2 linked regions of the Lonchura striata genome follow. The protein of the gene in region 2 binds, or shares a complex with, the protein of the main gene of each other region. Links are inferred from orthologs where the notes say so. Each region holds a gene or a part of one and is shown on either strand. Other genes may lie near its edges.

The links. Proteins that work in one complex are often made in the same cells at the same time.
Region 1: the proteins of AGT (region 2) and ANPEP are in contact, whole or in part, in a crystal structure (PDB 4FYS), measured with the Homo sapiens proteins. The link is inferred for Lonchura striata from reciprocal best matches to the Homo sapiens genes AGT and ANPEP. Residues at the interface, in NP_001369746.2 of Homo sapiens: Val27, Tyr28, Ile29, His30, Pro31, Phe32; in NP_001141.2 of Homo sapiens: Gln211, Gln213, Ala351, Gly352, Ala353, Met354, Glu355, Arg381, Val385, His388, Glu389, His392, Glu411, Glu418, Asn438, Arg442, Phe472, Tyr477, Ile864, Phe896, Ser897, Asn900, Gln903, Ala904, Arg907.

What each region holds. Positions count from the first base shown.
Region 1 is NC_134613.1:24,301,160-24,308,345, reverse strand, and holds the start of ANPEP (aminopeptidase N), read left to right. Parts: upstream 1-4,126; 5' UTR 4,127-4,306; coding exon 4,307-5,022; intron 5,023-5,288; coding exon 5,289-5,434; intron 5,435-5,510; coding exon 5,511-5,647; intron 5,648-5,729; coding exon 5,730-5,856; intron 5,857-5,964; coding exon 5,965-6,119; intron 6,120-6,190; coding exon 6,191-6,304; intron 6,305-6,419; coding exon 6,420-6,563; intron 6,564-6,637; coding exon 6,638-6,703; intron 6,704-6,844; coding exon 6,845-6,910; intron 6,911-7,070; coding exon 7,071-7,186. Other genes in the region: AP3S2 (AP-3 complex subunit sigma-2), read left to right, coding at 142-270. UniProt on the Homo sapiens protein: Broad specificity aminopeptidase which plays a role in the final digestion of peptides generated from hydrolysis of proteins by gastric and pancreatic proteases.
Region 2 is NC_134605.1:42,847,711-42,855,026, forward strand, and holds the start of AGT (angiotensinogen), read left to right. Parts: upstream 1-4,298; 5' UTR 4,299-4,401; coding exon 4,402-4,413; intron 4,414-6,667; coding exon 6,668-7,316. UniProt on the Homo sapiens protein: Essential component of the renin-angiotensin system (RAS), a potent regulator of blood pressure, body fluid and electrolyte homeostasis.

The sequences.
Region 1 (7,186 bases), on a different chromosome or scaffold from region 2:
TCCCTGCCCAGTGGTGCTGGTCAAGAGCGCAGGGAGCTGCCTGTGGAAGGGGTTCTTTTGTCAAGGTTCCTGAGCCCAGGTTTATCAAAGATGCAGCTGCGGAGGGGCTGTGGCCCATGGTCATGGTCCCTCTGTCCCCAGGGAGGCCTCTCAGCTGCTCCTTCCCGCGCCGTGTCGGCTGTGAAGAACATCAACCTGCCCGAGATCCCCCGCAACATCAACATCGGGGACATCAACATCAAAGTGCCCAACCTGTCGCAGTTCATGTGAGCAGCCCGTGCTGGGGGCTGCCCGCCAAGCAGAGCGGGGGTCCCGGGCTCCTCCCGGGGCTCTGCATGTGCCACACAGGGGCCGATGGTGGCCGAGGGCAGGGAGCGGTGACAGGGCTCAGAGAACGAGCTGGGGAGTCCCTCCCTCTGGACCTGGGCTCAGCTCTGCTCTCTGGTCCCCCAACAAGGAGGGTGCTCTTCCTTCCCCTCGCTCCCTGGGGACACACAGCCTCTCCTTGCTGTGGGGAAGGGCTGGCTCCTGCCTCTCCCGGGGTTCTTGGGATTCCCAGAGGTGAGAGTGTGCCTGTAGTGGCACTGTCAGGAGCTGCAGGTTGTCTGCTCCACCCTCCCAGCCGTGGCTGTGCCCTGCCCTGGTCCTGCTCTCTGTGATGGGCCCCGGCTGAGTGGGGATCCCTCATGGGAGCTGCTGTGTGCCCGGGGGACAGTGAGTGGGACATGCTGGGGCAGGAATGGCAGCAAGAGGGACAGGAGCTGAGTGACCTGGGGGCTTGCAGGGCCAGGCCAGGCTGGGGCAGGCTGGGGCTGCTGGAGTGGGTCCCTGTGTCCCAATAAACTGCCCTTGAACCCGTGTCTGTGTCTGCTGTGGGTGCTGCTGGAAGGGGAGGGGGCCGGGGGCTCTGTGCAGCTCTCCTGGGGCAGCTGCAGCCCTGGGGGGCTTTTGGCTGGTGGAGGCCCAGGGGGTGGGAAAGGGGGCCCCAGAGCCCCAGGGGAGGGCAGGGGCCTTAGGGCAGCGTCCCTGGCTGCACCCGCTGCTCTCAGAGCAGGCATGGGGATGGTGATGGCCACGATGGCTGTGACAATGTCCCCAGCTTTGGGCCTTTAGTGGCAGTTCACCCTTTGCCAGTTCCTGCCCTCTCCCTGCTGCAGGGCAGCAGCTCTGTGAGCTCTGACCGCTCTGTGGGTGTGTGGGAGCTGTGGGGCTGGGGTCCTCTGAGGTTGGGGAGGAGCAGGGCTTGTCCTGGGGGATCACAGTGACCCTGATGGGCTCTGTCAGCCATGTACCCCACGCCCCTGGCTCCACCAAAGCTCCATCTGGCCACCAGCCCCTGGGCCTGGCCAGAGGCCCTTCCTCTGCTCCCCAGCTGTGCTCCAGGTTCTGCCTCCACTTCCCCTGGCAGGGAAACCGTGACTCTGCCTAGAAGGAATTTCCCCTCCCTGCAGCTTAACCCTTCCGCAGCTGGCCACTAGCCACATCAGCCCTCCTGGAGGTCAAGGAGCTGGGCAACCTGCTGTGTCCTCTTCTCCGCTGGCTCTCCTCTCCCTCCGCTTCCTCCTGTTCCTCCTCCTCCTCCTCCTCCTCCTCCTCCTCCTCTTGTAGGTGCCGGCGAAGGGTGCAGGTGAGCCATCGTGCCTGGGCTGTGTCCCGGGGCTGGGACGCGGAGTCTGGCAGGACTGGGGCGGTCGGAGGGGACCGCTCCAGCTCACCTCACGGTGAGGGGGGCGGCGAGGCCCCGTGCCGCTGGGGCCGTGTCCGGCCACTCGTGCTCCCCGTGCACCGCCCGTGGCGGCTCCGCTACCGGCTCCGGCCCCGCCGCCCCGGCCCGGCCGCTCTGCGGGGCGTGCGAGGCTGGGGCCGGGATCCCCTCTGCCAGGATCCCCTCTGCCGGGATCCCCTCTGCCAGGATCCCCCCTGCCGGGATTCCCTCTGCCGGGAGCCCCTCTGCCGGGCAGGAGCCGGGCAGCAGCCGGGCCGGAGCCAGGCAGGAGCCGGGCAGCAGCCGGGCAGGGGCACGGGAAGGAGCCGGGCAGCAGCCGGGCAGGGGCACGGGAAGGAGCCGGGCAGGAGCCGGGCCGGAGCCGGGCAGGAGCCGGGCAGCAGCCGGGCAGCAGCCGGGCAGGGGCACGGGAAGGAGCCGGGCAGGAGCCGGGCCGGAGCCGGGCCGGAGCCGGGCAGCAGCCGGGCAGGAGCCGGGCAGGAGCCGGGCAGGGGCACGGGAAGGAGCCGGGCAGCAGCCGGGCCGGAGCCGGGCAGCAGCCGGGCCGGAGCCGGGCAGGGCCGCCAGGAGCCGGGCAGCAGCCGGGCCGGAGCCGGGCAGGGCCGCCAGGAGCCGGGCAGCAGCCGGGCCGGAGCCGGGAAGGAGCCGGGCCGGAGCCGGGCAGGGCCGCCAGGAGCCGGGCAGGGGCACGGGAAGGAGCCGGGCAGCAGCCGGGCCGGAGCCGGGCCGGAGCCGGGCCGGAGCCGGGCCGGAGCCGGGCAGGAGCCGGGCAGCAGCCGGGCAGCAGCCGGGCCGGAGCCGGGCCGGAGCCGGGCCGGAGCCGGGCAGGAGCCGGGCAGGGGCACGGGAAGGAGCCGGGCAGGGGCACGGGAAGGAGCCGGGCAGCAGCCGGGCCGGAGCCGGGCAGCAGCCGGGCAGCAGCCGGGCCGGAGCCGGGCAGGGCCGCCCGCGGGGCGCAGGAAGGGGCAGCAGCGCGGGCGGACCCCGCTGGCCCCGCGGAGCGCAGGAAGGTGAGGGGGAGCTCGGCTGCCGCGGGCGCTGCACGGCCCAAGCAGGGCCAGCCTTGGGCTGGACCGAGCGGGGAAGGGGCTGCGGGGGCTGCGGGGTGTGCGGCGAGCCGTGCGGCTCACATACATGGGGGCTATGGGGCCCGTATGCAGTGCGGGGTTTGGGGGGTCTGTGGGGGTTCATGACGGCGTGGAGGGCGCTGGGGGGTGTCAGGCTGTGGGGTGCGTGAGGCCAGAGCCCCAAGGGCCCCCGTGCCCACGGGGACGACACCAAACCCTGTGGGAGATGTGTGTGCTGCTGGCCGGCTCCAGGGAGGGGTCGTGTGGGGTGGGACAGTCCTGCAGGCTGGGTGCTGTGTCTGCTGCTCCCCGTTAACCCCATCCAGCCCCTCCATCCAGCCCCTCCATCCAGCCCCCCCTGCGTGCTGTGCCCCCGGGGCTATGGGGAGGGCCAGCAGGCCCACTGGCACGGGACAGGGGGTGTGCAGAGTGCCGGGCACCTTCCCAGTCACCCGTGGCCTTGGTCCCGTGGGGGACTGTCCCCAAAGCCTTTGGCCAGGGCCAGCGTGGGGATGGTTCTGAGAGAGCCAGCAGTGACCTCTGGGCCTGGAGCATTGCTGTGCCTGACAGGGAGTGCCAGGGACACCAGCAGCATCCAGAGGGATTTGTGCAGGTGCATCTGGGTGCTGCCTGGGACAGGGCAAGGGCTCCCTGAGGACACCACTCACTCATCCTGGTTTGCCCTTTGCCCCAGCTGTGGCTTCTGGCAGCACCTTCCCATATCTCCCAATGGAGAGATCGATTAGATCCTGAGAACGGGACTTCCTATTTCTTCCCAGTGTGTGACAGGATGTGTTACCCACCCCCACCCCACCCTGGGTGGGGACCTCACCTATGCCCACTGGGGCTGGGCTCACAAGGACGGAGTTTGACCCCACTGCCTCCAGAATTGTGACCCTGGACTTTGAGAGGGCTGTGAGCAGAGGGAGCTCCTCCCAAGTGTCCTCCCCCACATTCCCGTGCCGTTCCTAGACCCCTGTGCTGCACTATGCTGCTCCGCTTTGCCTGGGTGGGGCAGCCTGTGGGCTGTGCCCCCCGCACGCAGGGACAGCCCGGACCCTCTGAGAGTGGCTCAGACACTGTCACTCGAGGGTGGATGGGGTGACGCTGAGTCTGCATCTGGGCTCGGCTGCTGGGGACACATGCCAGGCCCCGCAGCACGGCGTGGATGTGGCTGCTGGCTGCGACCACCTGCTCTGTCCCTCCTGCAGGGCCAGGCCAGCGCTGGGAAGGACGCCGGGGTCCAGGCCCGCAGCCCGTGCACGCTCCCCGATGGTGCCACCCCGCACCGCCAGCTCTGCCCCTGCAGCAGCGGCGCCGGGCCTTGGTGCTCCTGCCAGGCTGGGAGGCGGGCGGGAGGAAAGCTCATCCCAGGGTCTGTCGCCGCCCTGAACCCCATGGCCATTTAATCCTTCACCCATTAACTTGGACTAATAAACCTCGTGGGAGCGAGAGGCTAAAAGCCGTGCTTGCACCAGCGCCGTCCCCGCCAGTGCCGCTCCTGCTGCCCGCCATGGCAGGCGGCTTCTTCATCAGCAAGACCGTGGGCATCGTGGCCATTGTGCTGGGCCTGGGGGCTGTGGCCACCATCATTGCACTCTCGGTGGTGTACGCCCAGGAAAAGAACAAGGGGGTATCAGATGTGGGCACCAGCACCACGGCCAGCCCGGGCACTGGCACCACGGCCAGCCTGGGCACCAGCACCACGGCCAGCCCGGGCACTGGCACCACGGCCAGCCTGGGCACCAGCACCACGGCCAGCCCGGGCACCAACACCACGGCCAGCCCGGGCACCAGCACCACCACCCCTGCACCCAACAATCCCTGGAACCAGTGGAGGTTGCCAGCCACGCTGAAGCCGGAGTTCTACGAGGTATCCCTGCAGCCCTTCCTGAAGCCAGATGCCAACAACATGTACATCTTCAAGGGCAACAGCAGTGTGGTCTTCATGTGTGAGAAGGCCACCGACCTCATCCTCATCCACAGCAAGAAGCTGAACTACACCATGCAGGGCTCCTTCCATGCCACCTTGCAGGCAGAGGGTGGTGGCAATGCCCCTGCCATCTCCCGCACCTGGCTGGAGACTCCCACCGAGTACCTGGTGGTGCAGCTGGGCGCTCCTCTGCAGCAGGGCCAGCGGTACCGGCTGTCCAGCAGCTTCACCGGGGAGCTGGCCGATGACCTGGCTGGCTTCTACCGCAGCGAGTACACGGACGAGTCAGGCAGCAAGTAGGTGGAGGGCAGGGGTGGGGTGGAAGCCACAGCGCTGGCCCAGTGTGGTGCTGGGAAGGGGAATGGGGGCACGGGGCTGGCACGGGGCAGTGGAGGGCATGAGCTGGCTTTGGGGCTCCTCTCCCACCAGGACTGTGGGATGGGTGTGTGGAGCCTCTGTGCCGCCCTTGCATCCTCATGCTGCCCTGGTGGGGGTGGGAGAAAGGGCACTGGGGGGTGCGGCCTCCACAGGGACCCCCAGGACTGATGGGGCTGGCTCACAGGCAGGTGGTGGCCACCACGCAGATGCAGGCGGCTGACGCACGCAAAGCTTTCCCCTGCTTCGACGAGCCGGCCATGAAAGCCAACTTCACAGTGACGCTGATCTACCCGTCTGGCTATGAGGCCATTTCCAACATGCCTGCCAAAAGTGAGTGGGGCAGGGGAGCCCCGCTGGGGGGCTGGGGACCTGGCAGAGCTGTGGGGTGATTCTCTGATCTCCACAGACACCAGGGAGCAGGTGATTGATGGAGTGACCTGGAACGTCACTGAGTTTGACACCACTCCCCGGATGTCCACGTACCTGCTGGCCTTCATTGTCAGCCGGTTCAGCCACGTGGAGAGAATATCAAACAACACACTGGTAGGATGAGGTGGGGTGCACCCCCTGCCCACCTGGGTGGCTGAGCCTGGGCCACTGATGAGTCCTGCATCCTCCTCTCCAGATCCGCATTTGGGGCCGCCCCAAAGCCATCAGCGAGGGCCAGGGCGACTACGCACTCAATGTCACTGGTCCCATCCTCAACTTCTTTGAGGATCATTACAACACGTCCTACCCGCTCCCCAAGTCTGGTGGGTGCTGTGGGGCACCTGGGGCACTGGGCTGAGGTACCCACCGCAGGGGGGAAGATGGTCCAGCGTGCTGCCAGCGGGGCACTGACAGGACCCCTCCGCCCCCAGACCAGGTCGGCCTCCCCGATTTCAATGCGGGCGCGATGGAGAACTGGGGGCTGGTGACCTACCGGGAGAACTCGCTGCTCTTCGATGCTGTGTACTCCTCCATTGGCAACAAGGAGCGGGTGGTGACCGTCATCGCCCACGAGCTGGCACACCAGGTACCTGCTGCGCCCCCGCCCGCTCCCCTGGCTGATGGCTGGCGGCTGAGGGAGTGCTGTGCCCTCTGCAGTGGTTTGGGAATTTAGTGACGCTGCGGTGGTGGAACGACCTGTGGCTGAACGAGGGCTTCGCCTCGTACGTGGAGTACCTGGGTGCCAACTCTGCTGAGCCCTCCTGGAACATTGTGAGTGCCCGGGACGATGGGCGCGGGGGCAGGTGGGGCGGCAGGCACCCCGGGGCTGCCCCGGTGCCAGGCGCTACGCGCGGCGCTGAGGCGGGTGCCGGTGCCCCCTCTGCAGAAAGACCTGATGGTGCTGAACGAGCTGCATGCCGTGATGGCAACGGACGCCCTGGCCAGCTCCCACCCGCTCTCCTTCCGCGAGGAGGAGATCAACACCCCGGCCCAGATCAGCGAAGTCTTCGACAGCATCTCCTACAGCAAGGTGTGCACGGGGGTCCCTGGGGTGGGGATGGACTCTGGGCCGTCCCTGGCTTCTCTCACCTGCTGTCCCTGCAGGGAGCATCGGTGCTGCGCATGCTCTCAAGCTTCCTTAGCGAGGAGGTCTTCAAGAAGGGGCTGCAGGTGAGGTGCTGCTGGTACTGGGGGGCGGCGAGCCCAGTGCGGGGTGGGATCCCATGGTGGAGGCCTTCCTGGCTGCTCTAGGGGGGTCCCACACCCCAGACTTGTCCTTGCTCACCCATCTCTCCTGATGCTCTCCCACAGTCCTACCTCCACACCTTCTCCTACAGCAACACCATCTACACTGACCTCTGGGTCCATCTGCAAGAGGTAGGAGCGGGCTGGTGCTCCTGCAGCATCCCCGGCCCGGGCTCTGGGGGGCTGCCTGGTGGGACAGGGTCCCACGTGCCGGGGAGGGTTGCAGCACTGGCCGAGCCCCACGCTGGCCGTGCCCCTGGCCCTGGTGACCAGTGGCGCTGCCATCCCGCAGGCGGTGAAGAACAACAACGTCCAACTGCCTGACACTATCAGCAACATCATGGACCGCTGGACGCTGCAGATGGGCTTCCCTGTGGTCACTGTTGACACCCGCAGCGGCACCGTCAG
Region 2 (7,316 bases):
GTGTCTTGTCTTTTTTCTCCTTCTTCATGCCCTCCATGTTTCACTGTAGTGTTGGCATTTTTCTATTGGTTTAGGCTGGGGACACACTGTTCAACGTAGGGGACAGATATTGGCACATTATTGTAAATATAGCACAGGTAGTTTCTGGTATATAATGTTTGTAACATCCCACTGAGGGCAGAGCCCCACACGCTGCCCTGCAGGACAGACCTGCGGCAGGGCAGCAGAACATGTTAGAGATGAGCAAGAATAAACAACCTTGAAACCAGCACAGACGAATTATGACTTCTTCTTTGGCAATGGGGCAGTAAGACAGAGACTTTCTACAATCTCAGAATCATCAATACCTCAGATTCTGACAAAGGTCTGTGGTCTGAGCCTGTGAGCAGAGTAATTTATTATCCCTCCTCCATGTCTGCTGCCTCACAGGAGACAAGAGCATCATCACAGGAGTACATCTGGCCCTTTTGTGTTCAAGTCTCGGAGCAAAATTTGGAAACCTGGAAAACAAACAGAACTGAACAGAATAAAATATTTACTATTGTCTCTGCACAAAGTTCTGAATTTTATACAGGTTTTCCCAGAACAATTCAGATCAATGAAATTACTTTTTGCAAAGTGGAGACGCAGTGTTCTTTGGCAAAAAAATAGCTGCCTGGTCAATCAGTTGAAATTCTAGCTTGGACAAAAACATTTTCCCGTTCAAGGCTGAATTATATGCTGCTGTCTGTAGGGTTAAAGTTCCTCTGCCAGGGTTAAAATTTCCGAAGCCTTTTTTGTCAGTATTTGCATGAAGAACTGCTGGAGCACCATCAACGAGAATTTTTCATGGGGCAGGGGAGTGCTTCCACATTAGCACTTCACAACAGTGAGGCTGACCAGGAGAACTGATCCTAGGATGGCTGCATGGAAACCCATAACTGCAGCACCAGTGTTTTTCCACCCCTCTTTGCTCCCCTCTCAGCAGCTACCATGAATAACAAGCAGGAAAAACAGAGGCAGGTTTTGAAGAGAAATGAGGGCAGTGGTGGGGGGGACGGGGGATGGGCCTGGCTTATGCAAGAGTGGGTATAAAAGGGGGAGCTGACTACCCCTCCAAAATTGGAGAGTGGGGCAAAAGGAGAGAACACACCTCACCGCTGAAAACCAGGTTTGAGAGCTCTGTGTTTCTTTGTACCTTTACTGTGGCTGTTGCAGGGAGAGGTTCTTTAGAAAGCGTGTGTGGGCCACAGGCTTGTTTTGGATAGGGGATGTTTGTAGAACAGCCTTGCTTTCACTCTCTTGGGTTCTTTGTTGCCAGAAAGCTTTTTGCCCAAATTTGGCCCAGTGCAAGTTCTCTGGCACAGCTCTCTTTAAGGGGCAAAATCCTTGGACACCAGAGCTGAAGGGTAGGATAGAGAGAGATAGATAGAGTCTGCTTTTTAAAGTCAAAGCTCTATCTTTAAGCACACTCTCATTCCTAAAACCATGGCAACCCAATAAAAAAACCTGACAAGAGTCCACATTTAGTAATTGGAATAATGCTCATGCACTCCTTCTTAAAAATGTCTCAGAAATAAAATTAAAGACTAACTGTTTTTAAGTACTACTAGGATAAAACATGTTGCAGGTGTGGCAAGATATGTTCTTGGAAATCTGAAACCTTCTCCTTTAGAAGAAAGTGTTAAAAGATAAAGGACAAAGATCTAAGAAGTGTGCTGGTGTGTGATGCATCTTAATAGCGGAATATTAATTGAATGAGCACAAGTGACTGGAGAATGAGGGAGGGAACTGTATCTGAGCTTTGTAGTGGTGTGTGAATATAAGGTGAAATTGAAGGCTCTTCCTCATTACTGAGGCCAGCCAAATTCCCAGTGGCTGAGGAAGGAGGAGGCAAGAGGAGGACTGTGGTGAAAACAGGACATTGAACATTACCTGGTGAAACTTCTTTTTCTAGATAAAGCTAGGTATTTTTATTTGATTACTTTATTGATGTGGAGGCAAGGGTGGGGGGCAAAAGATAGCCTTCTGTGATCCTCAAAGACACTGACCAGTTTTTATCGACAGAAAATCATAGAACTGAGGGCACAAACACCAAAAGACACCCAAGGATCAACTTGGTTGAAAACCCTGAGAATATTCAACTTTCTTTATGAGGCAGAGCCCCCAGACCCACATACTAGATTTGTTGTTCAGGTGACTCCTGCTCCTCCTTTTCTTCAGAGCAGCATCCCCTGCAGCCAGGGCTGCCTGTTTAGGGCTGGTACTTACAGCACAAGGAGACCCACAGCTGCAGCATGGCTTGGTCATGACCTTCAGGGGAGCTGGAAGCAGGAGATACCCAAACAACAGCATTGTCTGAATGCTGCAGAATAAAGGCATAATTATCTAAGGAAAAAAACTACAGTGGGTGAGGGGTTTGTGATTTCCCCTTTCAGTGTTTATTGTCCACAGCAAACATGTAAGTCTTACAGCTGTATTATCTGTTATTAACATCACTTGTAGCTTATTAGCCAAAGCCAGTAATTAATTTAATAAGGATACTTTTCAGAGTTTTGCAGAATACAAGGTGCCTTTCCATGAAACAACTTTCATTTGTGTGTCCTCAATTCAGAGAGTACTGGGATGGGTTTTCTTTTCACCTTTGTTCAAACCTCATCTAGGGGGATGGAGCAGACCAGCTCTAGCTCACAGGCTCGGCATGGTCTGGCCATTCATGTGCACTGCACTGCCTGCCTAGTGCCTCAGATGGACCCATATGGGTGGTGGTGCAGAAGAAACAGATTTGCATGTCCCACCACAGCTCCACTGGCCTCTAAGGGACCAGCTGGCTCCCCAGGTCTGCCTGGGGAAAGGAGTCTCCAGGGTAGAGGGGAAAGAAGGGGGACCTGAAAGGGGGACTTGATCTCTTAGCATTTAGCTGAGCAATATGCATTTTTCATTTTTCATCCTTCTCCCTTTGCCTGTATTCTCTGTTCAGCTAGAAGCATTTTAAGTCTGGGGGTGGTACAAATGCTCAGGGATTGTTCTGTGGGCAGATGCTTCCTCAACTGAGATGCTCAGGCAGCAAGAGGACAAAACACCTTGAAAGTTTCAAGCTGTTTGTTTAAGCCTTCAGTGCATGAGAGCATGGTATACAAGCCTGGGCTCAGAACCACTTTTGGACCTCTTTGTAGTGAAGGTAATCAGATTGTTTAAATGAAAAGCAGGACTGCAGAGACAGAAATTTCTCATCTCTTTGCTGTCAGGCATCTGGCACACAGCCCTTGGGCTGGCAGGACTCAGCTGCCCCTGTCTCCACCTTCATTTCCACCAGCTCCAGCTGCCCAGGCATGCTGAAAACATCCCCCTCTCTCAGCTCTCTCCTTGAACCCAACATGTAGCTGGAGTACAAAACATGCCTGACTGGCCCTCTAAAATCAAAGCACAGATGACAAATCAACCCTACTCCTATTAGAGCCATGGGACTAAGAATAAAGGGTACTGAACAAGACCCAGTCTAACAAATTGCATTTGATTCACTGTTTACATGCTTAAATAGGAAGAAGGGGTACACCAAAATTGAAAGATTGTTTCAAAAGCAGCTCAAAGATCTGCAAATCCCAACCCCTTTTCCCAAACAAGACTTGAGAAGCTGACACTGGGAGGGATGAAGTCTTTGTGATCCAGCTCTGGCAATCTCACCTACCTGGCTTTCATCTTCTCCATTTCAACACATCTTGTTCAAGAGGAGAAAGAACAAAGCCTTGACATTCTGAACAGTTCAAGAGGGAAAGAAGGGGTAAAAATTAAGAGCTTAATCACTTTATTCTGCAGTAGCATACACATCTCACACACTGGTGGGTCCCCAGGCTGCAAGGGAGAGATTAAAGGCAATTTATCCGTGAAGCCAAAAAATCTGATCCAACTGTACAACAAATATAAGTACAAAGGAATCTGCATTCCTTTCAGTCTGTCACAAAATGATGTCTTTCCTATAATCAGTTATTCTACGCAGTAAAACCGCCGGTGTCTGCCTTGGTGAATGTGTAACTGCAGGCTACACAGGTGTGCTGGGGCTGGCTAAAGGTTGTGTATCCATCCCTGGAACTTTCTGCGAAGCCACTGTTGAGCCGGGCTCAGGTCTCATTGGCCTGAGGTAACTTCTGTCAGCCCCAGGCTGTGATGCAAAGCGGTTTTGCGCAATGCCGCAGCCACGCAGGAAGGGCAGAATTGCACCGCGTCCCGCCACCCCGGGACAGGTGTCGTGGGGAGCTCGCCTGAGGGACAGCGGCATCGGAGGGGCAACAAAGGGGTGACACCCCAGCACAGAGGCGAGTACGCGCTCTTCGTGCATTTGCTTTGAGTGCTGCTTTTCCATGCTTTTCCAAAGGGCTTGGGGCTCTCTCCTTTAGCCAAATAAACCACGCTGACTTTCCACAGATGGCGCTTAGGGTAAGTGCTTGGCAGTGAGAACTGCTCCTCTTGCTTCTGGACATGGAACAAATGCTGAACAGAGCTGGGGGCTCTGGCAGCCAGAGAGAAGTGACCGCTGGGTGCCAGCGGTGCCTAATGGCACAGCCTGCCTGGGTGGCATAGGGTCACCCTCCCTGCTGTGCAGAAAAGATTAAGAAATGCCTCAAAATAATTTTGTGATGGAGAAAACAGTGTAGGAAAGGAATTCCTTCTAATTTGTGGCTTTTTGGTTCATTTTCCTGAGCATGCCAATGTGAAAAATGCATTGAGTAGTTTAGAAATCCACTAGCACAGAAGCTGGGCTAACTGTGAAAGTGAAGTTAGGAAGGCACCTCCTAAGATAATTTTTTTAACCAGTCACAAGAAATGAATATGCTCTGTCATGCATGTCACATGCTACCAGTGTAGTTGGGGAGGTGAAGAGGGGACGGGAGCAGAGCGGACAGCAGCACGACTGTGCTGCCCATACAGTAATTTAGAGGATGAAGTGGGAGTTAATGGGGAAGAACAATCCTTGAGTGAAGACACAAGGACAGGGATCTACAGCAGCTCCTCCCCTGCATGCCTCTGGGGAGCAAATAGTTTCAGGCTTGACCCAAGAGCATACAGTAGGAAGACACTTAGACATCCTAAGGGACCATTACAGCACCATAAATTCCATTTGCAAAACCAGTTACAGCCTGGGAATGCAGATGTCCATGTTAGCAGTCAGATTACCTAGCAAGGTATGTCTAGTTACCAAGCATCTGCACATCTCAGTTTTTGTATGTGCAACAGAGTGGTGGCACTGCAAACTGGGCTATTATTAGGCATTAAATACTTGGGGACCCCTCAGGGGAAAGAATATGGTTATACATTGTAAATTAGGCTGGGAAGGGGCCAGGTCTTGAATAGCTGGATTTATACACAAGTACTTCCACCCTGCGTAAAGTGTTGATGAGACAGACATTGCTCTGTGTGCTCTCAAAAGGCTCAGACTACCAGAAGTACAATACCTGACAGACTGGAGTGACTCAAAAAGCCTTGGAGGAAGAAAGCACAGATCAGGGCTTGGGTACTGGCAAGGCTGATAGCATTTTGCCCATCCAATGAGCTCTGCAGAACTTGAAATGAGTGAAAGAGAGTGAACAAAGCTACAAAAAACAAGGAATTACTAGTAGAATAAAAATACAGCTCTGAATAACAGTATTTTGGCTGATGATATATTTTACAGATGCATAATTTTCAACACATTTCAGTTTGGATTTCAAATACACAGATAAAAAGTATATACTAGAAGTCCAAGAAAGGTACAGCAGAGCTATTAGTTATCAAAAAGCTTGATATTATAAAAGAGAGAATTCTAAAAATATAAAATTTGTCAACAGGTATAATGTGTCTGCGTGTGTGTGTGTGTGTGTCCATGACATTCTAGTCCCAATTTCCATTATATCCTTTGTGCTAAAACACCAGAGACATCCACACACAGTAAAATTCTCTGCTTCTTGTCAGGAAAAACAAGAGCTGCAAGTGGTCTTTTACCTCAGGAGAAGACTGCTTGCACAGCTGAGTAAAACTCAGCCTACTCCTTCTAACTCTGTAGTCAGACACAGAAGATGAAATGAAAAATGATTTCAGTGTGAGCACATTTGTATAAGGGAGCCTGGAGTGTTTGCCTAAGAGCTAGAATGAATGTTTGCACTGGGCTATGAAAACATAACATGCTCTGCTAGTGCCAAGTATTTTGCTGACTAGACATACAAAGCAGGACCGTACTGTGTTTGGACCTTAAGAGAACTGGTTTCCAAACCTACTTCCTGCATATAAGCAGGCACATTGCTTAGCCTATGTGTCAGCAAGGGTCAGTGCAGCAGTTTGCAGAGATGGATGGTTCTGACCAGGTCCCAGGAAAAAATGTTTTTGCATTTGTTGCAAAACAAATGTTTTGCAGAAGTAGCATGATCTAGTTTGCAGGCATAACCAGGATCCACAGCCATTCCCATGAAAAATCCTTAGGGTACTGCAGTGGGTAATGGAGTCAGGTCTGTGCTTGCCATTTCCCACCTGTTACCATTGAAACTGGTGTCTGTCTCATCCTGGGCTTTTTAGGGGCAGAGTCAGACCAAACAGCACTAAATACTGAAATTCTCACTTTTGTAACTCCAACACAGCACTAGTACCTCCCACTGTGATTAAGAGAAACTCTACTTGAAACACCTGACCAGACTCCTTTCCTTCGAATTTTTTCTTTCAGCAGACACAGTGGAGGCAATTTCCCAACATGAATCTGGTAGCAGATCTTCTCTACTTGTCGGCTTGCCTTACCATGGTGACTTGTGACCGGGTCTACGTCCACCCTTTCACTTTGTTTTGTTTCAATGAGAGTGACTGTGACAAGCTGGAAAAATTGGTTCAGGAGGGAAAGACTATTGTCCCTGTGTCCATTGAGTCCCAAACCACACCCGAATATGAAGCTGGCATGAACGAGAACAAGTTGGAAGCCCCAAGCCTCAGCACCTGGGGGAAGGAGGAACGGAGCTACCTGAGTGACTTGGTGTATGTCCTGGGCATGAGGTTTTACAGCGTGCTGCAGAAAGCTCAGAGGGGCCAAAACGTGCTCCTGTCCCCAACCAGCCTCTACAGCTCCTTGGTCTCATTCTACCTGGGGGCCTCAAACCAGACAGCGCTTGATTTGCAGGGTTTGCTGGGATTTGTTCCCCCCTCTGGCAATCCTGACTGCACTTCCACGGCAGTCGGAAGCAATTTCCTTTCCAGCCTGAGGACGATCGAGAGGCTTGTGAAGAGTGGGGACGAGGAGCTGCTCTTTTCCAACACACTGAGCTTGTTCTCTGCCCCTGGCGTACCCCTCTTCCAGCTGTTCATGGAGCACTTGCTCCCCAGCG